Notamacropus eugenii: one gene and its partners. The protein of the gene in region 4 binds, or shares a complex with, the protein of the main gene of each other region. Links are inferred from orthologs where the notes say so. Each region holds a gene or a part of one and is shown on either strand. Other genes may lie near its edges.

Region 1 (7,759 bases), on a different chromosome or scaffold from region 4:
TACTGATAGAGACTGAGATTCTCTCCAGACTTATTGTTTTTTCACTTTCTGACCAGCTACACTCCATCATCATTCTCCCAGGAAAATCATAACCTATAAGCTTTGGTACTCAAAACTCTTCAGTACCCTCTGATTGGAAAAGAAGAGAGCAAAGAACTCATCCCTAAGCCTCCATTTAAAAAGGGCTCGTGCACCAGTCAACTCTTTTCCCACCAGATGCACTTCTTGGACTAGACTCTACCATGCTCCCAGTGCAGGATACCTTGCCCATACCTCCTTTTTCAGCTTTTGTGTATTGTCTTCCTGTTAGGGAATGCCTTATTTGTTTCCCTACTGCTTAGTACAGGTCCTGGCACATAGTAGGTACTTAATATTAAGTAGCTGACTTGCCCAATTTAGATATTGGATGTGAGAAGTTTAAACTGATTTACTTTTTTTTTGGATCCTATTTACAATTCACTTATTTTGTCCTGTTAACTGCCTTAATCAGGGTTCTTTGTCCATGAGCATAGTCCAGAATTCAACTGGCCTGTAAAAGGTTTAAGTTTAGAAACCCAGTTCTCTTTAGCTAAGCTCAGGATGTGGTTTGCCATAAGGGTCTTTACACCACACCAAGCAATCCTTTCAAGAATATCTAGTTTGTTATCCAAAGTCACTAGTTCTTGAAGCTGAATACTTTTTAGTCACAGGAGGAAAGGAGGTGGTCACTGCTAGCGCCCCTCATTACCAAACTTCCAACCAATCTTGTACCCCATACCTCAGTTATGTAACCATCAACTATTGGGTTCTCAACACCATACATATTACCTGCTCTGTACTGTTTTTCTGTTCTATGCTTACAAAAATGAGCTGCATCTTCAATTTGGGGTCTTTGGCTAGAAACTGAAGCAGCCATTGACCTCAGGTTCATGCCCAGTTAATAAAATTGTTATCTTGGTCCGAGATATTTGCTTCTATTTACATTTTTCGTTAAATTTCACTAGCAATAGTGGTCATTATCTACCAGATCCTAGGTTATTTTCCCTCCTTTCTCAAGTTTTTACAGGCTCAAGACTTCTCAACCCAATTTATACCTCAAAAATGTCACTGGGAAACATTTAACAATAAAAACACAGTACAACTTAGTATCACATTTTTAAATTAAGCTAATATGGGGCCAGCAGGGATCCTGATGTACAGATTAGTAGACTTTTGACAGGTCTTTACCGGTAACTTGATGCTATAAGAGCTGATCAACCTCTGGTTCTCTAATGCATCACTAAATTACCTTCTGCCTCTTTGGTGGGTGGGGCCATTACCCCAAAGCTTCCAATTAAGGATCTTCCAGTTCTGGCCTTATTTCTCACCTGTCTGCACTTTCAAGTCCCAGGAAGTTCATTATTGGAAAAAACCTCTTCATCTTGCAAAAGATCTCAACAGCCATGGTTACTCCACCTTATCACCACCCTCTGTCCCTGACTGGAAAGAGAAGCCATGGACTACAAAACCTCCATTTAAGCAGGGAGATTACAGAACACCCAATTTCTAACCTCTCTGTACCATCTGGGATGTCTGATGTACCCACTCGGTGAGCATGGAACTGTCACCCCATCCCTTTACTACGGTGCCTGGCACATAGCAGGCATGGACTAGTACCGATCACTGCGGTAGGGGACTTCAAATACATGCCTTAATTCCTTCAAACACCAGAAACTATTACTTCAACAGCCTCAATTCCTATGACCTATTCCATGCAGCTAAGAGGGGGCAGTGGATAGTGCTGAGTCTTTTCCTGCATCGGTACTGTTTATGGGTCCCCTTCCTCCAACACACGGCACAGTGGGGAGAGAATAGGAAAACACAATTACAAAGAAACCCTTATCTGATCCTCACAACCTTGCTAAAAGGTAGATGTTATTATCACCATTACTTTACAGTTGAGGAAACTGAGGCAGGCAATAGGCTAAAAGTGACTTGCCCAGGATGATAGAACCAGTAAGTCCCGCAGGACTTTAACTTGGGTCCTCCTGAGACCCAGGATTCGATCTGGTGGTCAACGTATTTGTCTAGAACGGGTAGTTTTTCTTGTCATTATTCAGAAATGTTATACAAATATTATGTATAATTATTTCTTTTACTAAAGTCCTAGGTGAATAGCCAACACTCACCTTTTTCCCCCAGGAGGATTTCTTTTTCTCTCCCCCTCCAGTGACAGGAGTTAATTGGCTGTACTTGGGAGCAGTTTTTGGCTAGTTTCCTAATTTTCATCCAGTCATAAGAATTCCCTGAGCTTCCTTTGTACTTTAGCTAATTTGGAGACCATTTTACTCCATCTCCAACCTTTTTACGATCCAATGGGGAGGAGGGGAGGCACACAGCGAGGCGGTCTCATGGCAAAGCAGGCCTGGGCAAGTCACTTTTCACCCTGTTTGCCACTATTTCCTCGGTTTCCTCATCTGTAAAAGGAGCCGGAAAAAATGTCCCCCCCCCCAGGCTCTCTGCCAAGAACACGAGCTGCGGCACGGAGGGGGGTCCCTGCAGGCTGGGCCCGGCCCTCCCTCCTCCCCACCTCCCTGCGAGCTCACGCGTCTCCCCAACCGCCCCGCCCAGGCTCCTCCCGCCCGCGCGGCCTCGGACGCGTCTCTCCGTGGTCCCGATTACATCAGAAATGCCACTCACCATCTCCCCGCGCGCTCACCCGTTACGTTACCAGAACCTCGGGTTCCCAAAGCCCTTCTCGTGAGGGCTCGTGCGGCGCGGAGGAACCCGCTGAATCTCACCCACGTGGCGCCTCCCCTCTTGGGGCCTGCTTCCTGTTCTATGAATGGGGTTCCGGAGAAGCTCCCGTTTCTTTAATCACGCCGATTAAGATCGAAATATCGGTGTGGCCCGAGGGAAGAAAAAGTATTACCGACTCCCACTAAGTGGGGCATTCCCACCGGGCCCACGACCCAGCCGGCGCTCCTGGGCCTCCGACATTCGCGGAGGATTCGTCCCAGCTAGCCCCCCACCGGGGCGAGGCCCAGTGGAGGCCGCACGGCGAAACCCGAACAGGGCCTCCTGGCTCCTCTTAAGGGCCAAGTCACCAGAGGCCTAGTGAGAAGTCTGCCCCGGGCAGGGAGGAAGACGGGAGAGAGAAAGAGGGCCACTCACCATGCGCTCCCTTCCACACTCGCAGAGATGAAGGCAGACCTACAGGTGCGCGAGGAATAAAAAGGACGCTGGGAGCTCGCCGCCTGACTAAGAAGGGTGACGAAATCTCGCGAGATCAGGTGGCTGCCGGCTGAGAAAGCGGGAGCGGGATTGGCGCGAGGAGGAAGGCGGAAGCGGAGAGCGTGGGGAGGAGCCGGAGTGGGAATGAGGTCGTGCCCCTCCCTCGAGCGCCATCTTGCGTGGCGGGGGCGGAGCCTAGAGTTCGGGAGCGGGTGGGGACATGGAGAGAAGGCGGAGCCAGGTGCGCTCAGTCCTCCGTCCAGGTTGCCATCGCGGCGGTCCGGACGAGCGGCTGACGCGGAGGGGGCGGCCGAGGCTCCGTAAGTGGGTCGGCCTGGAGTGTGGTGGGGCGGCCGAGGAGGAGGGAGCGCGGGGACCTCGGGGGAGCCCCGCCAACCTCCCTCGCCGCGGCCTTTGGCGGCCCAGCGCGATGTGAACCGGCTGAGCTGACGAGGGAGACCCGAGTTCGAGCTCTGCCCGGGGCCCCCCGCGGGGGGTGTGGCCCCAGCCAGGTCCCGAGGCCTCTTTTAGCCTGTCAGCCAGTGAAATCTTAAGTGTTTATTGTGTGGTCGCTGCGCTGCTAAGCGCCCGGAGTTCCAGGAAGGGAAGGGAACAAGCGTTTATTAAGCGCCTGCTGTGTGCCTGACGCTGTGCTAAGCGCTACCTTGCCAGGCCGCGCTTTCACCGTCCCCATTTTACAGATGCGGAAACTGAGGCACACAGAGAAGTGATTTGCCCAGGGTCGCCTAGCTGGCTAGGGCTGCATTTGAACTCGGGTCTTCGTGACTTGAGGCTCAATCTACCAAAGTGCATTCCTGCCTGAGACAGAAGGGCACCACTGAAGAGGTTGAGGGGTGAAGGGGGACCCCAAGATACCGACGGTCCAGGTGGAGCTTGAATGAATTTCACTCAAGCCTTCTCAAAGCCAAAGAAAACAAAGTTTATTAAGGATTCGCCTAATTGAGTTGCCTCTTAAGCAGCCCAAGCATGTGTAAGGCTTGTATTCACAAGCAGGCTAGATGGAATCCCAGCTAGACAGAGTCTGAGCGCCTTCATGGGGGCGAGATGGAACTTAAATACAGAAAAGACTGTAGGAGGGATCTGGGGGGGTGGTCTGGGGTCCAGGGTGATGGGAGGAGGGGTTTAGGGAGGGTCTTGAGGAGAAGTCCTAGGAGGGAATCCAAGGAGGGTCACAGGCTGGAAACAGCTGGAGGCTATCAGGAGATAGCAGACATTGGAGGGTTTGGGTGGGAAGCAGGTGGGGCAATCGAGAGATAACAGGTAATGGTCCCAGATTTGAGTATGAAAAGCCAGGTTCTGTGGGGAGATACCCGAGGAGCTCAATTTGTGTATAAAAGGTCAGGTTAAGTGAGGAGATTCCAAGGGAGCTCAAGGAAGTTCCCAGAGTCTGAACCTCATCACCACATGCCCAGCACAAGGCCCTAGGAGGGCTTCCCAAGGGGTGGGGAGCCCCTCCTCTGGCAGGTAGTGACAGGGCCTGGGCCAGGGTCAGGGGACACAAGGGTGGAAGTTTCCCCAACCATGATGTGGGGGTGATGATGCTTGGCATTTATGTAACCACTTAGCAGCACCTAATAATATTGCCTTTCTTACTGGGTCTAAGAATCCAGGGAGAGAAGGAGGAGGACTTAACAAGCTACCGTGTCATCTAGGTGCTAGCGATGGTCTTCCTTCAGGAAGATATGCCTCCTACTCTCAAGCTATGAACTTCTGCTGGGGAGGCTGGAGCTGTGTTCTGATTTGCCCCATGTCATATCTGTCTTGAACTAGCAGCTGACGCAGGGATTCTCAACCACTAGCTCTTTATGTTTTGTCTCTGGTCATCCCAGATTTTCAGAGGGCCATTCTGCCTTTTGGTTCCCCACTTATCTGTGCTGGTGTAAAATCCTGGGCAAGTGTCATGCCTTGGTTGTTGAATGCTTGGACTAGTAAAGCAACAGCCAAAGGGCCATTTAAATGTACCTTTGTACAAACTACCTGTATTGTGTGCCAGCCCCTAGGGAAGGTGGAGATTAAAGAGTGTTGTCTTTTCTTTTTTTGTGTGGGGATGGGGGGAAGGAATGGAGGCTTTTTGTTTTCTGGATCAAACATCATTTCAAAGGTATAGGAAACTCCCTGTGAAGAAAGGCCTCCTATTTCTATACAGAAGGCACCACCTACTCTGCAGTTTAGAGTCTTGGAAAAGTGCCTGGGGCACTGAGAAGGAATTTGCCCAGGGTCAGGTAAACAAACAAGAAATACAGAAAAGCTTTTGGTTGTGTTGGGGGTTGCTCTTCAACCTCAAACAGCTAATCAATGTAATACAAGTAATAAGTTATATATTTTTAAAATGTTGCATTATTGTACAGTGATATACCTACTTTTAAGCAATGAAACTGAACACCTACTCTTCAGTAAGCTGTTTTTTTTCTATTGAGAAGACAGAAGAACTGTTACTGTTCTAACCTGTCCATCCCCAAGGTAGCCCCATCAATAAGACCCCATTCTCCCTGACTCATGTTATCTACCAAGTGCCACCCTCCGAACAACTTATTCAGCATCTGATGCTTGTTCTTGTGAGGAAAACTTACAGTTCCTGAAGCCAAGAAGTCAACCTCTTTGAATTGCAAAAAATTAAAACTGGCACTGAAGAGGCGGGCCCTCAGGGAAGAGATTTCACCAAGTCAAAGATGGTATAGTAGGATTTTTAAGTTTAAGTTAGATTACAAGAGATGATTTTTAATAGAATAGTATAGAAGGAAGTGCAAAATACAGCCTATATATGTACACACACGCACATACATATTGTGGAACGAGAGTCATGGGTTGGGAGGTGGATTATCAAGGAAGGCTTTGAAAGAAGTGTTGAATTTGGATTGTATTTCACTTTGGGATCACTTGAGAAAGGCAGCACTGAAGACCCCCAATAGGAAGTCAAGGGTGGCAGCTAGTGGTCTGGTGGATAGTACTTTGGACCTGGAATCAGAGAAGGAGATCTTAGTTCAGATTTGGCCTCAGATACTTATTGGCTGTGAGACCTCAAACAAGTCAGTTTACTTCGGTCAGCCTCAGTTTTCTCAACAGTAAATGGCAATAATTAATAGCACCTACCTTCCCAGGATTGTTGTGAGGATCAAATGAAATAATAGTTGTTTTAAAAAAAAGGCACTTAGCACCTTTCCTAGCACATAGTAGGTGCTATATAAATGCTTAATCCTTCCTTCTCTTTCTCAGTAGTTATTTACAATTTTGTCCACATTTTCTGAGATAATCTACAAGCATTTACAAGGTTCTGGAGATACAAAGACAAAAATAAAACAATTTTTTCTCTCCAGTATATATTCTGTTGGTAGACATGGGATAGGCACAGACTTGAAGTCAGGATGTGGATTCAAATTGTAATCATTTAACCTCTCTGTACTTCAGTTTCCTCATCTGTGAAATAGACAAACATGTTGGACTCTGATCTCCTTAATAAGGTCCCTTTGGGCACTTAATTTATGATCCCGTGATCTTCTAAAAAGTATCAGGACTGGACCTGTGCTTTCATTAGTGTGGGGAATTCACTGATAATGAAGCTTTCTCTGCTGATGCAGTTTAACCCGTTCTCTGAAAATTATGTACTGTAGTTTTCAGAGAATTCACTAGGGCAACAAGGTTAACTGATTTGCCAGGAGGTCACACAGACGGTATGGTTCAGAGTTCTGATTTCCTGATTTGGAAGGCAATTCTCTGTCCATTACAGCATACTGCCTCTCACCCTATCACTATATACAAAATAAATAAAAGGTTTTTGGAGGAAGGAGGCAACTAGGGAAAGTTCTGTCATGTAACAGATAGTGCTTGATCTGAGCATTGGTGGAAACCAGAGTTTCTAAAGAATCGAAGTGAAGAGGGAATGCATACCAGCTAAGGGATGTGCAAGGCACAGATATGATTGAACAGATGGAATGCCCCTTGTGAGAAGCAAGGCGGCCAGTTTCCCTGGAGTGAAGAATGTAAAAGGGAATATTGTATAATAAAGCTAGGAAGTATAAGGAGGAGCCCAGGTGCATAGGGTGGCAAAGAAAGGAATTCCTATTTGATCCTAGGACTAATGAGCAGCCACTGAGATGATTGAGCAGGGGTATAATACGGTGAGATTTGTGTTTTAGGAAAATCCTTTTGGCAGCTCTGTGCTGTATGGACTGGAGTGAGGAGAGATGAGACAAAGAGACTCACTGAGAAGCCACTTCAGTAGTTTAGGCAGAAGTGACTGTGTGAGTAGAGAGGGCAAGTCACTTCACCCTGTGTGCCTCAGTTTTTTAATCTGTAAAGTGGGCTGGAGAAGGTTTGGCAGACCACTCCAGTATCCAAAGAAAACCCCAAATGGAGTTGAAGAGGTTGAGGGGTGAAGGGGACCCCAAAATACCGACAGCCCAGGTCATGCTCGAATGAATTCCACTCAAGCCTTCTTAAAGCCAAAGAAAACAAAGTTTATTAAGGGTTCGCCTAATTGGGTTGCCTCTTAAGGAGCCTAAGTATTTGTGATGCTTGTATGCACAAGCGGGCCAGATAGAATCCCAGC
Region 2 (7,643 bases), on a different chromosome or scaffold from region 4:
TATATCATGAGCCACTGCAGAAGGACTCTGTGGAGGAAGAATGCTGAAACACATTACAAATAAGGAATTACGTGGGAGAAGTATAAAATATGACATCAAAGAGTATGATCAGACTGAAGTGAACTCATCACCACATAGACAGGCAACCAGTGAACTAACCAGCCTTTGTGCTCTACTAGGATCCACACAATGGAAGAGGATGCAAGAAAGGGCCCAATGAGAGCATTAATGAAAGTAAATAAAAAAACACAGGCTGGACAGGGATGAGTTGCAATCTGTACCACTGGAGGGAATACCCAAATTGATAAGAATGAATTACCCTTTGAAGATATTTATGTTGCAAGTGCATTACAACTCATTTGACCCTTCACAGTAACTGTAAGATAATATATGTATTTTATATTTATGTTATCCCCATTTCACTGATGAGGAAACTAAGAATTAGAAAGGTTAAGTAATTTATTCATGGTCAGTCACACAACTAACGAGTGTCAGAGGCAGGATACAAACTCAGGCCACTCCTGACTCTAGATCCATTTCTCTTTCTCCCACAATAGCAGACAGTAATAATACTAAGTAGTATTATTGCCTTGGGGACTCCATCATCCTGCACTGTCTTGTTCTCCTCCACTCTCTTCCTAGGATCTTAACCACAAAAATTTGAAAACATACTACAGCTTTACAAAAAGTACATAGCTTTAATCACTTATAAGAAGATGAAAAACAAGGGAGCATGGTACCACAGGAGCAGACAGGTCTAGGGTGTCAGATAAGGATTCAGCATTTAACCAGGGGCCTACCTTTCAAATAGGACGAGTTGAGTCCAATTGGTAGGTAGTGATCAAGAGTCTTCTTTCTCTTGGAACCTAAAGAGAATAGATTGTCAGAGTAGACAGATTGTCAGATTAGACAGAAAGTACTTCCTAGAAATGAACTGGACAATCAATCAAGAGAAGTCACATATCTTTCCCATCTGACGTGTTTTCTCAGAAAAGACTCTTCAACTAATCTGGGCTATGTGGAAACAGTGGGAGGAAAAGGATGAGCTTGACCACTGTTGAATGTATATATTAATAATCATAGTGTTCTCATTTAAGTGTCATGAGAACCCTGTGAAGTAGGTATTAAGATGATTTTAAAGCTGAGCAAACTTATGACTTATCCATGGTGACAAAGCTGGTAAGTATCAGAATCAAAATTTCAATTGAGGTCTTTATGAATCTGAGGCTGAGAACACAATCCACTTGGACCCACTGTGGATCCAGATGTAGGATTCATGTCCTAACACCTCGGGGAGAGGAGGTTGGAGGAGAAGGAAAGAAGGAAATCCTTGCTCACCGGCAATTAGTACAGGTATAGAAGACAGTCTGTCCTTCATCAGCTGAGCGCATCTGCCGGGTATGATATGCCATTCCTTCATGACCACAGTTGGAACAGCGCCTGTCAATCTGAGAAATCAGTAAATTAGGAGGGACTCATAGCTCCCTGCTCAAAAACTTTCAGTGGTTCCTTAGTACCTATAGAATTTAATATCAACTTGTGCGCCAGGTATTTTACGGTTTTCCCACCACAATCTATGTCTAACTTAGCTTATTATTTATAGTATTCCCCTGCTTGTGCTCTACAGCCAGACAAAAGGGATTAATTAACTAGCTGTTTCCTGATCCTAACTGTAGCCTATTGACCATTTCTAAAATGTGTTCACCTGTTGAAATTCTTCTCTTCCTTTAAGGCCCAATGTAATACAGCAGAAAGATGCTGAATTTGGATCTGAGATCAAATCCCAAACTGCCCAACCCAAGAGCTGTTTGTTTCTAGGCAAGTCACCATCTGTCTGGGCCACAATTTCATTTTCATTGAATGAAATCAGACTGGATAATCTATAAGGCTCCTTCTATCTCTGGTAGCCTAAGATTTACAACTCCTTTATGAAACCTTCCCTTATCTTTCAGCTAAAACTGATCTTCACCTTCTCAGATTATCTTGTATTTTGCATGAATTAGATTTAGCCTTTACCAATCCACTTTGCCTCAAAATATTACACACTGCAGGCCCCTATTATATCTAATGATATGATGCAGTACACAGAAAAGATAATAATTATTTGTTGAATCTGCTGGCTTGATCCATACATATGTTAAGACTTCGAGATCTAACGTCTCATGGAGCCATGTAACTGAAGCGGAATGACTCTCACTCAACTCACCACTGGTCCCTGGAACTCGGGCCCCTCTTCCTCTGGCACCATCAGGGGTGTTCCCAACTTGTGGAACACGACCGAGGTGGCCACCACCTTCCCCTCGAACTCTGGAAGAGAAGGAGGAGGGCTGCTCGTTGCTCAGGCACAAGGTGAGATCCTGCACCGTTTCCCCCGGCCTCTCTCCGTCCCTACGGGTCCCACCCCCTGGTTAATGGCACCTTCAGGGCTGGCCTCTGGACACCAGACTGTCTCTCAAGCTCAGGGCCTTCCCCCACAACCTCCCTGCACCGAGAATCCATGCTCGTCAAAGCCTCTTATTCCAGAGGGGCTCTTACCCCGCACGTCTATGGAGAAATCACACCTGGGGCAAGTTACTGTGTCCAAAGTTCCTGGAAGAGGCAGAATTGAGCCGCATTCGGGGCAGAAATCCGAGTCCGAATGGAAGCTGGAGTCCATGGAGATGACCTGGGAGGAAGAGACTAAGCGGGGGCCATTCTTTTCTCCTCGCAGGACCTGGGGTCCGGCGAATCCCCTGCCTCCCTCCGCCCGTGACTGCTCTCAGTGCCCGACCCGCATCCTGCCCCAACGGTAGCTTCTCACCAGGATTCCGGCTCCAGGAGCAAGCCCGCGCCTCGGATCGGGACGTCAGCTCGCGCTGGCAGACGCGCCGGCCTGCGCTGGGCTGGGCCACGCGGGGCTGGGCCACGCGGGGCTGGGCCACGCGGGGCTGGGCCACGCGGGGCTGGGCTAGGGGAGCGCCGGGCTCTGGAGAGGCTGTAGCGTCACAGTGAGAACACGTGACCGCCTCCAGCATCCTGGAGCGCCGCGAGATTTCCGCGTCCCCGCAGCCCCGCCCACGGCGGACGTACGGGCGCGGCCTCTGTACCTAGGGTTATCTTCTAGACTCGAGCAGACGCTTCTCTCCTCTTGTCCTCCGGGTCTAGTCTCTGTCCCGAGGTCTGTTCCGCAGTGTGACTTTAAGGAACAACCTCCCCCAGGCCTTTGTCCCACTGCTGCTGCTGTTTGCACTACACAGTAAGGGGACCCGGAGGCTTCCCTATGGGTGCTGGAGCCGGACTCGCTGTGCGTTGTAGTTTTTTTTTTTTTTGCCTCTTCTCCCTTCCTAGGCCATGGCGGGGTTGGGGGGGGGGGGAGCCTTTGAATGATGGGAATTTAATCTCAGATGAATCAATCTGGCAAGAGTAGTCGGAGATCAGAACTCAGACATGAGCATAATTTCATCTCTTCCTCTCGACCCCAGACCTTCATTTTTATAGAGAAAATACAAGAAGCCAGGGAGTAAGGAGGATTTCCATGAGAAGATATGGTGTTCCCATTCATGAGATATTTGGCAAGGATAGATGATTTAGGTGTACACGGGCAGCGGCGTCACTCTTGGAGGTCTTTGTAGTTAAGGAAGCAATGAGTTTTAACAATATCTGTGAGATTCCAACTGGGTCATGTGCAACAGTGGAATCCATTTTAGTTATCAAATTAGCTGATCCATCAGTAAGCGTTTCTAAAATAGGTTTGCTTTTGTAAGTGGAATTTTTGTTTTTAGTCGTTTTTTCAGTAGTGTCAAACTCTTCATGGAATTTCACAGATATTGTTACAACTCCACAAGAACCTCCAAGAGTGATGCTGCCCATGTAAGCGTAATAATACTTAATGCTTATATAGGAGCAGCTATAATACATAGGTATGTATCTATATGTATCTATAGGTACAATAGATAGAGCTCAAGGTTTGGAAACAGGAAGATTCATCTTCCCGAATGAAAATCCAGCCTCTCGGTTTACCAACTGTGTTATCACAAGCAGGTCACTTAACCCTGTTTGCTTTCCCTGTAAAATGAGCTGTATCTTTGCCAAGAAAACCCCAAATGAGATCACAAAGAGTCCAACAAGACAAACATGATTAAACAACAATGCTTATATAAAAAAAAGTATGCATTAAATAAACTTATAAAACATGCCAGGCCTATGCTAAACACTGAGAATACAAAGAACATGCAAAAAAATGATCTGTAACTTCAAGGAGCTTACATTCTAATGGAGACATGTATGTTAAGTAAGCACATGTAGAATAGAGAGAGGGTAGCCTTTGGAGGAAAGGTACTAGCTGTTGTGAAGGGACCAAGAACTGCAGAAGGGGGTACTTGAACTAAGTCTTGAAACCAGGGATTCCAAGAGGTATGGAAGTGAGGAGTTCATGGAGGGCAGTCAGTACAAAGGTGAGCAGATGGGAGAGAACTTAAATGTGTGAGGATTGTCAAATAGACTGGATTGTACAGTGTGTGAGGAGAGTAATGTGTAAGAAAACTGGTGTTGGGGCAGACCTAATTCATGTTGGAATGAAATGAAGCACTCATAGATCATTAGAATATCAGTTAACAAAATGTTTGCACAGCCATATCATAGAAAGGATATTCAACAAGGATACTCCAGCATTTTAGTTTGCATAGACCAGGAAATTTGTCTGGTCACCAGGGCAGAATGTGGTGATTCTACAGTCACAGGTTTTAGGACACCCACCAAATCTGAAGGACCTTGATATCCATATAGGTGGCTCACAGGTAAACCATGCCATTATGACCAGAGGCTACTTCAAGGAAAGCACAGTTTGAATACTCTCAGCCCCCATCAACTTCTTAGAACAACTTTGCTTCCTTTCAAGGAAAAACTAGCCTAACCCATGTAGTAGGGAAGGGGAGAGCTCTAATAGTAGTGATTTTATTGCAACTGGAAAGCTAGGAGGAGTCCAGGTTATGAAGGACTTTAAATGCCACATTGAGCTTATGTTTGATGCTATAGATAATGGGAAAATATTGAGTGTTTACTGAGTGGGGTAAGGGGCAGGATGGATGACTTTGTCAAAGTTACACTTTAGGAAAGTCACTTTATGTCAAGAATGGATTAGAGTGGGAGAGACTTGAGGCATAGAGACCAATTAAAAGGTTGTATATTTCAGAACAGGTAAGAAGTGATCTGAGGACCCAAACTGGGGTTGTGACTGTGTTAGAGAAAATATCTAGTGGGATATCAATTTTGCAATATCTAAATCATTTAAATATTAAGCATGCAATCTCATGTAACCTCAGACTAGGTCAGTGATGACATAGAAGAATGTTTGTGACCTTCCCTTGTGTTGACATCAACCTGCACTATAAATAAACCCATGTCAACAGCAACTTCTCATCCTAAAGGATGTCAGAAGATTATTCAGAGTATTAGGGACTAGAGTGTTGGAGAGTAACTCTCTTGAATGATGATTTGAGAGCAAGGGTAGGAAAGGGAAAGGTTGGTAACTAAAGCTTAGGGAGCAGACTGGGACAAAGAAGAACCAGAGTACAAAGATGTTGTATCTGCAGATTGAGGCCCAGAGGGCAAGAGCCAAGAGGCTACAGAAGGAGAAAGAGCTGAAATGTCCAGAGATAAGAAATGTGCCAGAAAAGAAAAGAAGTTCTAAGAGTGCTGGATCTAGTGTAGAAATATGGGATAATGGAATACCAGAAGAGAAGCCAGGCTCTCCTGTGTCCAGCTCTACACTCCCAGACTCAGAATGGGTAAAGCTAAGTCCTCAAGAGAAGTAAGCACAATTTTGGGTTATTGTTCCATTTTTGAACAAATCAGGGGGCAAAATTTTCCTTATTCTTCTCAGAAAGGGCAACTTCTTTACATTGGGAAAAACTACCCTTTTTCTCTCTTTTGTGTGTATGTATATGTGTATACATATCTACATATATATAAATATAAAATATACATATATAAATAATCTATGTATTTAATATATGTGTGTATATGTGTATGTATCTATCCACATCTAATGTAGTATTAGTGGGAAGGGAGAAAAAAGTCCTTGCTTGAGAAATACCCTTATTTACAGTTATATAAGCATTAGATTTCTTGGTCCAACTTTGTGATAGAATTTACTCATTATCTTAGTTATTTAAAACAGTTTCCAAAGTTTTAATACTTATGTCTTTTTCATTGTTTAGATTATCCTGGGCAAAAAGTACCGAAGACCCTCGCATTGCCATAGGTCATCACTCTCCACTAGAAAAAAAAATTGTGGTAAGTTAATTAGCATAGCACTGTGCAATAGAGAGTTATGGTATCTTCATTTAGCAAGTTTCCGTGCTAGCAAAATTTCCCAGTTCAGGTTGGAAAACAAAATATTAATATTTACATAATGCTTTAAGATTTGCAAAGCACTTTACAAATATGATCTCATTTGATTCTCATGGACCACAGCCCTCTGGGAGGTGGTGATACTATTATCCTCATTCTACAGAATAATTCTGAAGACAAGCTAAAGTGACTTGTCCAGATCACACAGTTATTGCTAGTTAAGTGTCTGAGACTGAATTTGAACTCAAGTCAAACTTTTGGGTTGAAAACTCTCAAAAATAATCATCATGGTATATATATTTCTTACTTTGTTAGCAATGAGGCCTCAATATATATATACATATATATGTATGTATGTATGTATGTATATACACTTAGCAGTGAAAGTGAATCAAGCCTAATTGCTATTTTTACCAAAGGTAGAGAAAGCCAGTCAGTGTCTTGTCTCTGAGGGAGCCTTCACTGTCTTCCCTTGTGTACAATAGTGTAGAAAAATGTAAAAAAAAAAAAAATCCCTTCATTTTGACAGTTTAGTTGGTCTACATACTTGTGTACAATAATGTAGAAAAATGGAAAAAAAAAAATCCCTTCATTTTGACAGAGTTTAGGTGGTGTGCATACTCCAGCAGCAAGAAATCTGTTAGCTCAAAGACATAAAGAGGAACATGAGACCCTCTCTAAAGAAAAGGCTATGTCTTTTGACCACCGACTTGCTAAGGCAGAGAATTACTACTATACGAGAATCATGGAAATGATGGAAGAACAGAATGAATTTAAAAAGCCCAGAATGGAGCCAGTGACAACACCAAAAAGCCAGAGAAGCTTAGAGTCTGAAGAATGGGACTACGTAGTATCAGAAAGAGAGTTAAAGCAAATAGAGTGTCACATACACAGAGCAGAACAGGCCAGATGTATGGATACAAAATGGGAATCATTCCCCCAAATCCCAAGCAAAACACATTTTCCCCAAATCCTTTCACCTGAAAGTAAAAAGGATGTCATCAGGATGACCCCATCGATGAGAAAGCAGATAAGAGAGTGGGACCGGAAGCAGCAGACAAAAGAACATCTAGAACGCATGATTCGAGGTAGAGAACTTAATGAAGAAAGAAACAAGGAAAGACTTTCTGTAAGAATCCCAAGTCATCCTCCTCCATTTCTAAAGCGTATAAAGAAGAAGAGCCATAAAAGATTTGGATGGAGCACTGCTTATCCACTTCTCCAACCTCACGATGAAAGTCCAATCAAACTGGATGTCCTTGTGGCAGAATCATCAGAAAAAAAAGATGTGAGAAAAATTAAAAAACGAGTTC
Region 3 (7,176 bases), about 54 Mb from region 4:
TCCCTCAATAGAAGGGTCTCATTAATGACTTCATAAATATGAAAAACATTATTTGTATCCCTGAGCCTACAGAAGTAAAAGATGGTTACAGGAGATCAGGTTTATACATGAAAAGGAGAATGAAGCCAGAATCTCCTTTAAGTGACTTTATGGGGCAGAGTGACAGAAAATCTTCCCTGAATACCTGAACTCCCTCTGCTTCACTCTTTCATATTTCAAGCCTTTTGTATTTTCATCCAGCTTCTTTTTTCTTCTTTCAAAGAAAGAACTGAAGTCACCCTGCTTTCTCAAGGCTAACCCATCCACCTGTGCATTTGATCCTGTCTTCTACTGGGCCTTTCATACCATCATCTTTTCTTGAAGATTTTGAATTTACTCTTCCTTTAATTCTTTCCTTACTTTATAAGCATGCCTCCATATCAAAAGATGCCTTCCCCTGACCCTACTAACACTGTTTTACTATTTCCTTCCCCATTTTCAATGCTAAACTTTTTGGATGAGTTAGTCTATACTTGCTGCTCCCCTTCACACACTTCTCAAAGCCTGGTCATGTGCCTTCTGCTCTACCCCTCTTCTTTGAGGTCACTGCTCTGTCTTGTACCTTGTGTGGTAAAATGGGAAAAATACAGGAGAGCTAGGTTCAAATTCTGTCTCTAATGCTTCTGAGCTGTGAGACCACAGGTCTCTCACTCAGTTCCTCTGAACCTAACTTTAAGAAATAAACAAAATCAGAATAATTAAACCTCTAAGTGCCCTTCTTACCATTTCACCATATGGCTCAAAGGAGAAACTGGGATATGATGTACTTGGGAAAACTTAAATATTGGCTTCTATTATGTATTTTTGTCTTATCCTCTTATCTAGTAAACTCCATGGGGCAAGACTATGTCTTCTTAAGCTTTGTACATACTCGTGGGAATATCTCATATCATGTCCCCCACTCACACTGCTGAAGGGTGTGAAGTGGAAAAAGTTTAAGAAGCTCTACCCTAGAACTTAGCAAGATGAATCAAACAAACACTTATTAGGTGCCACATTACATACACAGGATGTTGATATAAAGACAAAAATCAAAATAATCCTGGCCCTAAAGGAATTTACGTTCCATGGGAAGAAGGTAGACAATAAACACATAATAAATACTGCTGAATAAATGGGAGGGAACACTCTCAACCAGCAACTATTCCCTTGCTCAAAATACCGCTTAATAAATTGTCAAAGGTAACAAGCATGACAAACAATCCTTTGAGTGGCTCTCATTAATTTCCAGGCTTAGTCAATTCAGTAGTATTTATACAGAACTTACTATGAAACAGAGACTATGCTAAGTATTGCAGATAAGAAGAAAGCCAAAATTTGATCCCAGTCTTCAAGAAGCTCATAGGGTAATGGGGGAGAGAAAGTAAAAACAAGATAAATACTGGAGAAACAACATGCAGATAAACTGGGGATCATCTCAGAGGAAAAGTACTAAGATTAAGGAGGACTAGGAAAGGCTTGTAGCAGAAGGTGGGAGGATAGTTTAGAAGACAGGAGGGAAAGATGAGGGCGAAAATGAGAGAGAGGGAAGGGAAGAGAGAGAGAGAGGGAGAGAGGAGACGGGAGAGGGGAAGAGGGAAGAAGGAGGGAGAGGGGGAGAGGGACGGAGGGGGGGAGGGAGAGAGACAGAGAGAGAGAGTCAGTCTCTTGCGAAGAAGGAGAGAATAACATTTCAGATCCTGCTGGGAATGAGATCCTCCCATATACCCGGATCTCCCAATTCCTCCCGGTCTCCAGGGCTCAGCCCTCAGCCTCTGCCCCGCCCCCAAGGACAGAGCCAGTCACGCGGGAACAGAGCGGGGCAAGGGGCAAGAGCTCGGCCCACCCCCGATACCGCGAGACGGGGATGGGGGCAGAGGAGAGACGGGAAGGTCGGGCCACGAGACCAGAGTAGGAGATAGAAGCTGGAGGGGGGGACACCAGCGTAGGAGGAGGAAGGTGGGAAGCCTGAAGGGGAAGGGGCACACTTCGGGGCAGGTCGGAAAGAGGGCAGGACAGTGCGGGGAGGAAAGCCGGGGGGCGAGTTATGGGGCAGGAGTCAGGGGAAGTGAGCCCCTGGGAGGGACGGCTGGCCCGCTCACCTGGACCGCGTGGCTGAGCCCCTCTCGCATAGCATAGTTGAAGGACTCGATGTGCGCCCGCGTGAGTTCCTGCAAAGCCGGCAGCTGCTGTTCTTTCGGGATCCCGTAACCCGGCTCGGTCAAGTGTTTCAGGCTGGGCCCGCCGGGTAGGTCCCGCCACTTACAACCGGGATCCATGCCGGTTAACAGCGTGGGAGAAACGAGCCACAGCTGCTGGACATCCCAGAAGGCAGTTCGTCATTAACTCCCGCCCCTCCCTCCTGTGGCATTCTGGGAAATGTAGTAAATGTAGTAAATGAAGTAAAGCGTCACATCTGCGCCAGCAAAAAAACCCAAAAAAACCAGACCCGTAACCGGAAAACTACAAGTCCCAGCAGCCCACGTGAGAAGTACTTTCTGTTTTCCTTTTCCTTTTTTTTTTGGTGATTTTTTTCCAAGTCCGCCCGGCTCACTGGCGGGTTACAGAGTTGTCAAACCCTGGGCACCAGGGTGCCCACAAAATTCCTTGAGATCCGCCGGAACCAGAACAAAATGTAATTAGGAACTATTTAGCAAGATAAGTAGATTAGTTTAAATAAATATACAAACGTATGGTATTGTAAATCAGTATCTCAGAGATCGTTAGTTTGAGAGCAGTTCCCCTCCCCCCCATTTGTGAATCTTGACTGTACCACCGTCTCCTGGTGGCCCACGCGTGTGGACTGCGGGCCCTGCGCCGCCTCGGCCCCCGATGCGCACGTTCTCCCAGGCTTTGCCTGAACTGAGGCTAGAAGTGTCGTCCCAGGCAGCTCCACATTCTCTACAAAACTCAGTTTCTCACTTTGTAAAATGGGTCTACTATTGCTTGAAAAGCTCCTTAATGAAGGGTAGTGACGTCATTTTCATCTTTGTATCTAAAGCACCTTTCTTATACTGGGCACTAAATAAATGTTTGCTGAATCAGACTGAATTAAAACATACACATCTTACGTTTTAACAATTGTAATGTAGACACGCTTAGGCAAAACAGAAAAGAATTTACGGGCCAATTAAGAATGAGAACGGTCCAAATGAAATGGATCACCTCATGATGTAATGAACACACTGTCACTGCAAGTGTTTCAATAGGAACCAGATGGCCGTCTGGCAGATGTTTCCTGCATTGGGTGAGAGGTAGGACTTGATCTCTGATCTTCCTTCCAACTTTGCATAATTTTAATATATATAACATCATAGTTTCCATTAGAATTTTTCTCCCTCCTGCCTCTACTTCCATTAGGAATTCGGGAAAAATAGTTTCCCCCCCTCATATTTAATTGATTTGGATACAGATATCAGGGAACTGTGTATAATGTAGTCACGAAAATCCCATCTGATCCATATACATACATTCATGCTCTGGTATGTCAACTACACAAACTCTTGATATTCTGTATGTATGCCAATTACTGTTACAGATATTTCTTTTCATTGTGGTTTGTTTTCCAAAGGTTGATTCTGTGGATACAATGTTATTTCTACATTGATTGCGCAGTGTTTTTTTCTAGGTAGGCAACAAAGTTTGGAGAACTGCCAGGAAATGCATTGAACATAGACATGCATGCAGTCTTGCAAAGGCCCTGATTACAGTTTCAACAAAGTGGTCTAGTCACATATGAGGCTGGTTTCACTTCTCTTACATGGCTTGAATTCCACTGCCATTTATTGTTGCAGTCAACCTCTGGGGGCAGAAAATGAGTAAGGGTACAATAATAATTGAAATATAGTAAATATGCTTTGTTTTAAATATGGAATTTGTTTTCTAACACAAATGACTGGCCATATATTGACTGAAAATTGTGACAAAAGTCATCATTCAAACGCTTTTCAATAAAACTGATTTAGATATGCTGAATCAGAAAGACCTCTAGCTAATTGGGAGAGGAAGGAACAAGGGGCATATTAGACAAAAAAATACTTTGCAATTTGTTGAAAAATGTGTTACTTTAAAATTAACACCCAATGATACATAGAAGTACAGAGTAAGGAAGCCCTTTCACAAACATGTGTTGGATAGGGTATTAGTCAGATATATTTGGTTGTGGTCCTTTGTTCTTGAAGAGGACCAAAATGACATCACTATGCCAGAGTCTCTTAAGTTTCAGTGTGTCTGATTATGGCTGATCAGACCAATATGAGCTTGGAAAGCTCTACCACAGATCAGGCACAAATTGTTCATGTGAACATTTGGGGGAGATTCTCTAAATTTGTTCATTCTGTGTTTCTTTTGAGCCACTTCAATTCTGCTTTGTTCATAGAGCACAGTGCCTTCTCTGATGTGGGCATGCCATGCTGAGTGGTCCTGCGCCAGTCTCTTCCATGTCACACAATCAATTCTAAAGTTCTTGAGAGACACCTTAAGAGTGTCCTTGTATTACTTCTTCTGACCACCATGTGAATGTTTGCCCTGTGTGAGTTCTCCATAAAACAGTCTTTTCGGCAAATGTACATTTTGTATTGGAACAATGTGACCAGCCCTTTGGAGTTGTGCTCTTTCTAGCAGTGTGTGAATACTTGGCATTTTAGTTCACATAAGGACCTCAGGGTCTGGTACCTTATCCTGCCAGGTTATCTTCAGAATCTTCCTAAAACAATTCAAATGGATGCTATTCAGTTTCCTGGAATGGAGCTGGTAGACTGTCCATGTTTCACATACAACAAGGTCAGCACAATGGCTCTGTAGACCTTCAGCTTAATATTCAGTCTAATACCTCTTCTCTCCCACACTTTCCTTTGGAGTCTCCCAAACACTGGGCTAGCTCTGGCATTCAACCTCTTTATCAATGTATACATTCCAAGAAGTATACTACCAAGGTAAGTGAACTTACCCACAGCATTCAAAACTTTTCCATTTGTTGTAACTGATGGTTCCATGTATGAATGATGTGGTGGTGGCTGATGGAACACCTGTGTTTTCTTGGTGTTAATTATTAGGCCAAAATTAGCACAGGCAGTGGAGAATTGATCCATACTTTGTTGCATCTCAGCTTCAGAGGCTGCATTGAGTGCACAATCATCTGCAAACAGAAAATCATGCACCAACACTTCCTCCACTTTCATCTTGGCTTATAGCCTTTTCAGATTAAAGAATTTACCATCAGTGCAGTAGTACTGATAAATTTTATATTTTAATGATCAAATTTTACTTCATTACATATTTTAACTTCAATTCAAAATTGTCTACACCTTTTGTTAATTTGGACAAAATATTCTTCCCAGTAACAGGATGCTATCATTCATCAAACTATTATTATGGGTTGTAATTGTAAATGTGTTATTTATCTGTATTGTATTATACATCTGTAAATGTTTTATTCTGAGCTCAATACATATTCTTCCTTAAGATGCCTTTATAGGAAAAAGTATTTTTCAGATAGGCTTTCTCAGTCACTAGCACCCGTTTTCTTTCAAGTTGTGGTATAGGAATCAGTATGATTTATGCTTTGTGAGTTTTTGGAAGAGGACTAATGCCAGTGTGGCATACAGATTACATATGAGAAATTTTAGTTTTTAATGAATTAAATCTCTCTAGCTTTTGAAGTTAATTTTTAACATTAATGTATTGCTGGTTGCTAACTGATGGCATTAGAAGCAACATATTAGTCAGTTCTCTGCAAGGAGCTAATTTAAGTAATCTGATGTGTAAGAAATCAATTAGAAAGATAGTAAAGGAATTTAAAGCATTCTGACTTCTGTTCCAACAAGCAGTTCACCAATTCTGAATTCAAGTAATATTCCTCCTGTGAGGAATCCTAGCATCACAAACCACATACTTGTTCCTACATTCTCTTGAATGTATTGCACTCAGTGTTACCAAAAAGCATTAGAGACTTCTTTTCTCTTCTTTTAGCATCCGTGACAAAAGTTATTTACCCTGTTGCCAGATAATGAGCTACCTTGGTATTTTCTGGAGTGAACCTCTACAAAACGAATGGAAGGAAACTACTGCTTAAAGATCATTCTAATAAATGATCATCATCAGATATCTCTGAATATGTACACATGATCCTTCATCCCAAGGATAGTTCAGATCAATGGATCAGGCTACGATCTCTTTTCACAGAAAAAGAAACAGGCATAAAAAGTTGAGACCTCCCCTAGAATCACACAATAAGTTAGTATCAAAATATAAAGGAAAAACACAGACTCCCCCTTCTCCCCCAGTTCTTAAGGTTATGGCAAGTAGGGAACCCCTCAAATGATAGACGTAGCACTTTTTTACTCTTATGCCCATCTATTACTCAGTATTTCTTAAGCACCTACAATGTGTCAGATGTTCTAGTTTCAGGGAATACAAAGACAAAAATGAAACAATCCCTGCCCTCATGGAGCTATTTTCTATTAAAAAAAAATCTTTTTTCTCTTGGAAAAGTTAACATTGTATTGCTTTGAGTCATAGTTTTTTCTGGCTATATACATTCTATTCTACTGTCCCTAGAATAGAGTAGAGTTTACAGTAAAAGCCATAACAGTTCTTTCCTCTCAGTTGCCTCATAAAATATGGTTTTATTTTAGATTAATCATGTTATCTATGTTACCTCTGGAATCAGATGTGGAAAGGACCTTAAGGATTATCTAGTCCACTTCCTCCCCCTATTTTGTATATTATAAAACTGAGATCAAGAGAGATTAAGTGACCTGCCCAACATCACAAGGTAGTCATTGGTGGAGGAGTAGAGACTCAATATCAGATCTTCTGACTCCAAATCTAGCATTCTCCCTTCTGCCCCATTCCACTTTAGTCTCTAAGGTCTCTCCCAGCTCTAAACTTCTTTGTTCCAAAAATAAAAAGGATAAAAACATTTTACTCCAGTGATCATATTGGGCCTTCAGAACCCTACAGTCCTTTAGGTCTTAACAGTATTTTTCACTTTCCTTGCCTGAGTTGATTAATTCCTATAAAACAAGAGGCTTATTGGTTATTGTAAACTCTGAATCTTCTGTCTAGTTCATACTACCCTGAGAATAAACTCAAAAAAACCCCAACCATATTTGACCAGACCCGGACCCTCACAAAGAGCCTTAAACATCAGCTATA
Region 4 (7,802 bases):
GAAGGGATTTTGCAGACCATCTACAGTCCAATTCTCTCATTTCACAGAAGAGAAACCTGTGGCCCTGAGAAGGGAAGAGACTTGCCCAAATTCACAAAAGTAAAGAGTAGCAAAGCCAGGATCCAAATCCAGATTCTGATTCCAAATTCAGCAAACGTTCCCCTGTGCCATGCTGCTATTCAAACAATCTTCTACAGATTTTTTTTACTTTTAAAATAGTTACACTTTCAACAAATACAAACAAAACATGGAATAAATTTCTAGATAAAATCATCAAATCCAAACATTATGATTGAAAAACAACAACATAAAAAATTTTAATAACAAAAATCAACTCATTCTTTGTCCTTTTTATTCACCTGTATATTTATAAAAAGTTAAGTGGTTTTTTTTATTCTGCTTTAGTCAACATATTGGTTGCTTTTCTTATTTTTTGACCATGTCTTTCATTACTTCATATATCTTTCCATATTTCTTTGCTGTTCTTTCTACATGCCAGTTAGTCTCCCATACCTAAAATGCAAAACCTCCCCACCTCCCGACCTCTTAGAAGGCCTCGTTTCCTTCAAGTTCAAGCTCAAGTTCTTCCTATACAGGACTTTTCCTTATTCCTGATTTACATCCCCACCCAAAAAAGTCAAATTATTCTGTATGGATTTACTTATATATGTACATGTTGTTTCTTCCTAATAGAATAGAAGCTACTTGAAAACATGGACTGTCTAATTTCTATCCCAGAACCTAAGACAGTACTAACACATATTAAGCACTTAAGAAATGCTTGTTGAAGAAGGCAATAAGGAGAGAAGGGGAGTTCATACAGACATTTGGTCACATGGTTAAGACATCAATTTCTTAATGGTACATTTGTTGGGATCTGCTTATATTCCAATATTCTTATAGGTAATATGCAGTATTTGGGGAGTCTTTTTCGCTACTATAGCAAATTCAGCTATATACGTAGGGAACAATTTAGAATAACATTTAAAACCTTTAACAGTATTAATAACTAGAGTTAAATCATCCTAAAAGTCCAAAATGAGTCCCAGAGTTCAATTCCAAGAATACTAAAATAAACATTTATTAAGTACCTGCTATGTACAAAAGCAGTGTGGCACCATGGATACAGGACCATCTTTCAAGTCATGAAGGCCTAGGTTCAAGTCTATACTTTGACAACCCATGGTCATGGAATTTCTCACTGCCTCAGGCAACTTCCTATACATATATATTACAGAAGATTTGTTGATCTGTGTCAGTGCAGGAAACTTCCACAACAAGTATTTCCCTACATCAATAAATTCACAGCTTCCAGACCAAAACAATATCAAACCACAGATCAAGTTAGGAGATTTAAAATCTCTTCCTTGAAGGAAGCTAAGATAATTTCTTCCCTGAAGGAGTCTAATGTTTAGTAGTTAAACAGAACCACTTCAAACTTCTGGCAGAATCAATATAATAATTAAAGACATCATCCTATGTCTAAAATTTTTGCGAAGATATATTTTCAAATGACATGACTGAAGAAAATATTTGGATTGTTCATCTATAAAACTTTGCAAATTATATTTCAGCATTTTCTATTCATTACAGAAATTTTTAAATGTAAGCAAACTTACCTCTGTAACATTGAGGCAAGTTGTACAATAATATGTTCCTTCATCAGTAACTCCCCAGGAAACAGCAGCACACTGCGTACAGGGTTCATTAAAGTCTCCCTGTAAAGGAAGAAAAATATGCATTCAATATATTTAACTCAAATATAAATCTAGACAGTGCATTTTCCATTACTGTATACTTCATTTAGCTACTCGGAGAGGTGTAGCTAAGTAGGAGGACAGGAACTAGAGGCCCTGACAAAGAAAGGGGGACTGAGAGGGTAGCAGATTGGAGAAGATGATCTTCGTGGTCCTGTCCTAAGAGATGCCACCAAAAATTCAGCATGAGGTGTGAACCAAAGAGGTTCGTTTTAGAGATATCAGGAAAAACTTCCTAAAAACTAGAGGTATACCAAAAAAGTGAGATGAGTTGCACCTTGATAATTTGTGTTTCCCCCACTTGGGAGCTGAATTCTGCAGGCAGAGGTTGGACCACTTGTTTGGTATATCCCTGCCCATATTCCTTTTATGTATGGATTGAACTGCATAGCTGCTAGGGTCCCTTCTATTCCCAAATTCTGTGATTTTGTGAAATTATCAGGTATGGGACAGATGGTCTGAAAAGTGAGGTCTTCTCTTTCAGGTGACTCACAGGACCCTGATAATGGAGTTACTGAAGAAAACCAGAATGCAAACTTTGACATAAAATGGGATATAAACCTCTTACACCGCAATAAGCTCAAAATGGATACATGACCCGATTAAAGGTTACACTACTAAAAAAGAGAATAATAAGGTGTGGCTGGGGAAAGAATTCTCAACTAAAGAACAGAGGTGATCCAAAAAAAAGAAAAAACATAATTCCAATGACACAAAGTTGGAAAGCTTTGACAATAACGAAATGAATCAATCAATAAACATTTATTAAGAGCCTACTGTGTGGAACTGCCACGTAGGATACAAAAAGAGACCACACACACACACACGCCCCTCATCTCCACGCTCCTCTCAATTCCAACCTGACTTAGTTATCTAAGTACGGCCATTTTCCTCCAGCAGAACCTAAGTTATTTAAGGGAAGGCTCCGTCCCACCCGGTGTTTGATCTCCCCTCCCCCATCCCGCTTCCTCCAGAGGCCAGCACATACTTGGGAACTCCTCAGGGGCTTAAACAAGCGTCTGTGGAATTCACGTGTGCGCACACTCCTAACGCTACATAACAACGGACGGTACCTCTTTAAACGAACACACACGTGCACTCCCGCGCACACACCCCGTCACATCACCTAACGGTCGGTACCTCTTCAAACACGCGCACACCCCCCCCCCCCACACACACACGCACACACACACGTACGCTCCCGTGTACACACACCCTCACACCCACACCCATTCACACTCCAGGCCCTCACTGCTCCCGGGGGCCTTGACCAAGCCCTCCCGGCCGGGCCCCGAGTCCTCACCGCCTCCTCAAACTCCATAGCGGAGCCCAGGTCTTCCGTTACTCAGAGAATGCACGTTCGCGCCGCGGAGGTTCCCGGAAGTCCTCAGGGGCACTCTTCCGGGGCGGAAACCACCGGCAGGCACTTTCGGTTCCGGGGCAGCTGCGTTCCTCCACGTCCCTCCCGGCGCAGCCGGATGAGGAGCGCTCGGGAATGGGGCAGCCCCGGCTCGGGAGCCGCCGCTCGCGTTTCCGCCGAGCTTCGGTTTCCAAGTCAGCCGGCTGGCCGCAGCCCAGGCAGGTCGGGATGCCGGCGCCTTCCTCCTGCGGCCACCCCCGGTAGCTGGCTCTTTTCCTGCTGTCTCTCCCGTTAAACCGTAAGTCCGAGGGCGGAGACTGTCTTTTCCCTTTCTTTTTTTTTGGTGTCCTTAGCGCTTAGCAGAGTGAAAGAGCATGGGTGCTTTATAAATGCTAATTGACCGATGGACTCTAATCAGAAGAACTTGAATGGGCATTCCACCCCATTCTGCAGGTACTTCTTGAGAGCGTGCCGTGTGCCGATCATTGTGCCAGGTGGTGGAGATACAGAGACAAACCCACACCCCTTTGTCACCGGGAGCTCACCAGGCGTTGGGTGAAACGTCTAGACAGAGGCCTGGCTCTGCAGTAAAGGAGACCAGACTTGTGGTCTGCCTCAGCCCTTTCGGAAGCTCGGTAACCAGGGCAAGTCGAGTCAAACCAAGTCAGCCAGCCTGCATCAAACTGTGCCCACGCCCTGGAGATTCAAAGAAAGGCAAAAAACGGTGCCTGCTCTCAGGGAGCTCACGGGCTTACCAAAAAGATCATAGTGGGAAAATATATACAGGATAAATGGGAGATGATCCCAAAGGGAAGGCACTACTAGACTTGGGGGGATCTGGAAAGATCTCCTGCAGTGAGACTTTAGCTGAGACTTCTGAGGGTCTTCCCCTCCCAGTTTTTGATCGATTGATTGATTAATTGATTGATTAAAGGGGCCTTGGCTGACTTCTTAAATAGGCCCAATCACTGTTTCGTCAAAGTGAGAACTCTCTCTCACTACATCCTGAGCCATGGCCAGTTGTCCTGATCTGTATCTGGTCACTGAACCCAGATGACTCTGGAGAAGAAAGTGAGGCTGGTAACTTTGCACAACCTTCCCCCACTCAAATCCGGTTCAGTTGCAAGTCATGGCATTATCTTCCTCATGTCATGGTCCTCTTCCTGAATGAAGGACAATCCACAACCACAGCTGAGACTTAAAGGAATCCAGAGAAGCCAAGGGGGTGAATGTGAGGAGGGGGAAGGTTCTAGACATGGAGGACAGCTAATCAAAATGTGAAGACATGAGGTATAGGGCACACTCCATCCAGGAACAGCAAAGAGACAGTGTCATTGAAACATGGAGCATGTAGAGGGGTGTAAGGTATAAGAAGACTAGGTAAGTAGAAGAGACAGATTATGAAGGGGCTTTAAAAAGCCAAACAGAGGATTTTATATTTGATCCTGGAGGTAATAAGGAGTCTGTTGAATGGAGGGGAATAGGAGGGAGGTTGGTGACTTGATCAGACTTATGCTTTAGGAAGATCACTTTGGTAGCTGACTGGAGGCTGGACTATATGTAGTGAGGTGAAATTTGCAGCAGGAGAACCTTCACCAGGGTGGTGGCAGTGTCACAGGAAAAAACAGAGTTACAACATGGTAGCCCAAAATACTGATATCTTAGGCTATATTGAAAGGTTTAGGATCCGGGACTGAGAAGATGACAATTTCTCATGTCTTCTGTCCTAATCAGACCACATCCAGAGTACCTGTTAAAATTCTGGTAAATGCATTTTAAACTGGAAGGCAATTGATTTGAAATGGTTCACAAGACCATGAGAAAGTTAGATACTGTGTCACGGGAGGATAAAAGATCCTTTAAAGGAATTGAGAAAGTTTAATATGAAGAGAATATTGGGGACATGTTCATTTCCTTCCAGTGTTTGAAGGGCAATTGTGGGGGGTGACAGGGAAGGATTGCAATTAGACATGTTCTCCTTGGCCTCAGTGCCAGCACTGGGACTAGATTTCAGGATGATGTAGGAGAAGGGAGGAAAGCAGTATGGGCAATGATAAGAAACAAGGCGCACAAGAGGTAACAAAGTTTCAGAAAACAAAGCATGTTAATGTAGGTACTTTAAAATGACTTGAGGGGGAGGAGCCAAGATGGTGGAGTAGAAAGACACACATATGCTAGCTCCGAACCCACAGCCCATAAAATATCTGTAAAGAAGAACTCCCAACAAATTCTGGAGCAGCAGAAGCCACAGAACAATGGCGTGGACAAGATTTCTGTTCCAGAGAGCCCTGAAAACCTGACGCAAAAGGTCCATTCATGCCCCAGACCAGAGCAGAGCTCAGCCCTGCCTCAGCCTCGTGGTGCCCAGAGGAGCAGATCTGAGCAGGCTTCAGGGACAGAATCTCCAGCGCCAAGCAAGTCCCTCCACCCACAGGTGACAAGGGTCGGTGAGAAAGTCTTTTTGGGTGGCGGACGGGAGTGGGGTGTCCCCGTGGCTCGGGCCCCCCTTGGGAGGCAGCAGCGGAGGTGGCGGGCGGACAGGGGCTTCCCAAGCAGGCAGGAACTCGGATCCATTGTTGAAGGTCTCCCCATAAACCCCCTGAGGGAACTGAGCCTGTGAGGTGGCCCTGCCCCAACCTGAGCAGCTGAACTTAATCTCACATTGAATAACAGCCCTGCCCCCACCCAAAGCCCTGAGGCTGGGAAGCAGCATTTGAATCTCATACCCCAAGCACTGGCTGGGTGGATCTGGAGGCAAAGTGGGTGTGGAGAGGACACTCAGAAGTCAAGTCACTGGCTGGGAAAATCCCCAGAAAAGGGAAAAAAAATAAGACTATAGAAGGTTACTTTCTTGGTGAACAGATAATTCCTCCCTTCCTTTCTGATGAGGAAGAACAATGCTTACCATCAGGGAAAGACACAGAAGTCAAGGCTTCTGTATCCCACACATCCAAAATAAATATACCATGGGTGCAGGCCATGGAAGAACTCAAAAAGGTTTTTGAAAATCAAGTAAAAGAGGTGGAGGAAAAACTGGGAAGAGAAATGAGAGAGATGAAAGAAAAGTATGAGAAGCAGGTCAGCACCTTGCTAAAGGAGACCCAAAAAAATGCTGAAGAAAATAACACCTTGAAAAATAGGCTAACTCAATTGGCAAAAGAGGTTCAAAAAGCCAATGAGGAGAAGAATGCTTTCAAAAGCAGAATTAACCAAATGGAAAAGGAGGTTCAAAAGCTCGCTGAAGAAAATAGTTCTTTCAAAATTGGAATGGAACAGATGGAGGCTAATGACTTTGTGAGAAAGCAAGAAATCACAAAACAAAACCAAAAGAATGAAAAAATGGAAGATAATGTGAAATATCTCATTGGAAAAACAACTGACCTGGAAAATAGATCCAGGAGAGACAGTTTAAAAATTATGGGCCTACCTGAAAGCCATGATCAAAAAAAGAGCCTAGACATCATCTTTCATGAAATTATCAAGGAAAACTGCCCTGATATTCTAGAACCAGAGGGCAAAATAAGTATTTAAGGAATCCACAGACCACCGCCTGAAAGAGATCCAAAAAGAGAAACTCCTAGGAACATTGTGGCCAAATTCCAGAGTTCCCTGGTCAAGGAGAAAATATTGCAAGCAGCTAGAAAGAAACAATTCAAGTATTGTGGAAATACAATCAGGATAACACAAGATCTAGCAGCTTCTACATTAAGGGATCGAAGGGCGTGGAATAGGATGTTCCAGAAGTCAAAAGAACTAGGACTAAAACCAAGAACCACCTACCCAGCAAAACTGAGTATAATACTTCAGGGGAAAAGATGGTCTTTCAACGAAATTGGGGACTTTCAAGCATTCTTGATGAAAAGACCAGAGATGAAAAGAAAATTTGACCTTCAAGCACAAGAATGAAGAGAAATATGAAAAGGTAAACAGCAAAGAGAAGTCATAAGGGACTTTACTAAAGCTGAACTGTTTACATTCCTACATGGAAAGAAAATATTTGTAACTCTTGAAACTTTTCAGTATCTGGGAAGTTGGTGGGATTACACACACACACACACACACACACACACACACACACACAGAGACAGAGAACACAGAGTGAGTTGAATAGGATGGGATCATATCTTAAAAAAATGAAATTAAGCAGTGAGAGAGAAATATATCGGGAGGAGAAATGGAGAAATGGAATGGGGCAAATTATCTCTCATGAAAGAAGCAAGCAAAAGACTTTAGTGGAGGGAAAAAGAAAGGAGGTGAGAGAAAAACATGAAGTTTACTCTCATCACATTCGACTAAAGGAAGGAATAAAATGCACACTCATTTTGGTATGAAAACCTATCTTACAATACAGGAAAGTGGGGGAGAAGGGGATCAGCAGGGTGGGGGGGATGATGGAAGGGAGGGTAATGGGAGGAGGGAGCAATTAGAAGTCAACACTCTTGGGGAGGGACAGGATCAAAAGAGAGAATAGAAGAAATGGGGGGCAGGATAGGATGGAGGGAAATATAGTTAGTCTTACACAACATGACTATTATGGAAGTCATTTGCAAAACTACACAGATATGGCCTATAATGAATTGCTTGCCTTCCCAAAGAGAATGGGTGGGGAGGAAGGGATGAAGAGAAGTTGGAACTCACAGTTTTAGGATCAACTGTCGAGTACTGTTTGCACTACTAGGAAATAA

The links.
Region 1: TAF1B (region 4) and TAF1D share a complex: the UniProt entries of both Homo sapiens proteins name them as parts of the transcription factor SL1/TIF-IB complex. The link is inferred for Notamacropus eugenii from reciprocal best matches to the Homo sapiens genes TAF1B and TAF1D.
Region 2: TAF1B (region 4) and POLR1H share a complex: the UniProt entries of both Homo sapiens proteins name them as parts of the pol I pre-initiation complex. The link is inferred for Notamacropus eugenii from reciprocal best matches to the Homo sapiens genes TAF1B and POLR1H.
Region 3: TAF1B (region 4) and POLR1B share a complex: the UniProt entries of both Homo sapiens proteins name them as parts of the pol I pre-initiation complex. The link is inferred for Notamacropus eugenii from reciprocal best matches to the Homo sapiens genes TAF1B and POLR1B.

What each region holds. Positions count from the first base shown.
Region 1 is NC_092876.1:164,940,378-164,948,136, reverse strand, and holds the start of TAF1D (TATA box-binding protein-associated factor RNA polymerase I subunit D), read right to left. Parts: upstream 3,197-7,759; 5' UTR 3,133-3,196; intron 2,830-3,132; 5' UTR 2,678-2,829; intron 2,436-2,677; 5' UTR 2,248-2,435; coding exon 2,148-2,247; intron 1-2,147. Other genes in the region: C5H11orf54 (ester hydrolase C11orf54 homolog), read left to right, coding at 3,337-3,512. UniProt on the Homo sapiens protein: Component of the transcription factor SL1/TIF-IB complex, which is involved in the assembly of the PIC (preinitiation complex) during RNA polymerase I-dependent transcription.
Region 2 is NC_092873.1:83,973,818-83,981,460, reverse strand, and holds the start of POLR1H (DNA-directed RNA polymerase I subunit RPA12), read right to left. Parts: upstream 3,051-7,643; 5' UTR 2,801-3,050; intron 2,666-2,800; 5' UTR 2,657-2,665; coding exon 2,536-2,656; intron 2,308-2,535; coding exon 2,207-2,307; intron 1,449-2,206; coding exon 1,339-1,448; intron 867-1,338; coding exon 842-866; 3' UTR 801-841; intron 44-800; 3' UTR 1-43. Other genes in the region: putative uncharacterized protein ZNRD1-AS1, read left to right, coding at 5,556-5,788, 6,198-6,273, 6,932-7,643. UniProt on the Homo sapiens protein: Core component of RNA polymerase I (Pol I), a DNA-dependent RNA polymerase which synthesizes ribosomal RNA precursors using the four ribonucleoside triphosphates as substrates. Can mediate Pol I proofreading of the nascent RNA transcript.
Region 3 is NC_092872.1:602,816,421-602,823,596, forward strand, and holds the start of POLR1B (DNA-directed RNA polymerase I subunit RPA2), read right to left. Parts: upstream 3,070-7,176; 5' UTR 2,298-3,069; coding exon 2,121-2,297; intron 1-2,120. UniProt on the Homo sapiens protein: Catalytic core component of RNA polymerase I (Pol I), a DNA-dependent RNA polymerase which synthesizes ribosomal RNA precursors using the four ribonucleoside triphosphates as substrates.
Region 4 is NC_092872.1:549,076,169-549,083,970, forward strand, and holds the start of TAF1B (TATA box-binding protein-associated factor RNA polymerase I subunit B), read right to left. Parts: upstream 3,161-7,802; 5' UTR 3,079-3,160; coding exon 3,061-3,078; intron 1,719-3,060; coding exon 1,620-1,718; intron 1-1,619. UniProt on the Homo sapiens protein: Component of RNA polymerase I core factor complex that acts as a GTF2B/TFIIB-like factor and plays a key role in multiple steps during transcription initiation such as pre-initiation complex (PIC) assembly and postpolymerase recruitment events in polymerase I (Pol I) transcription.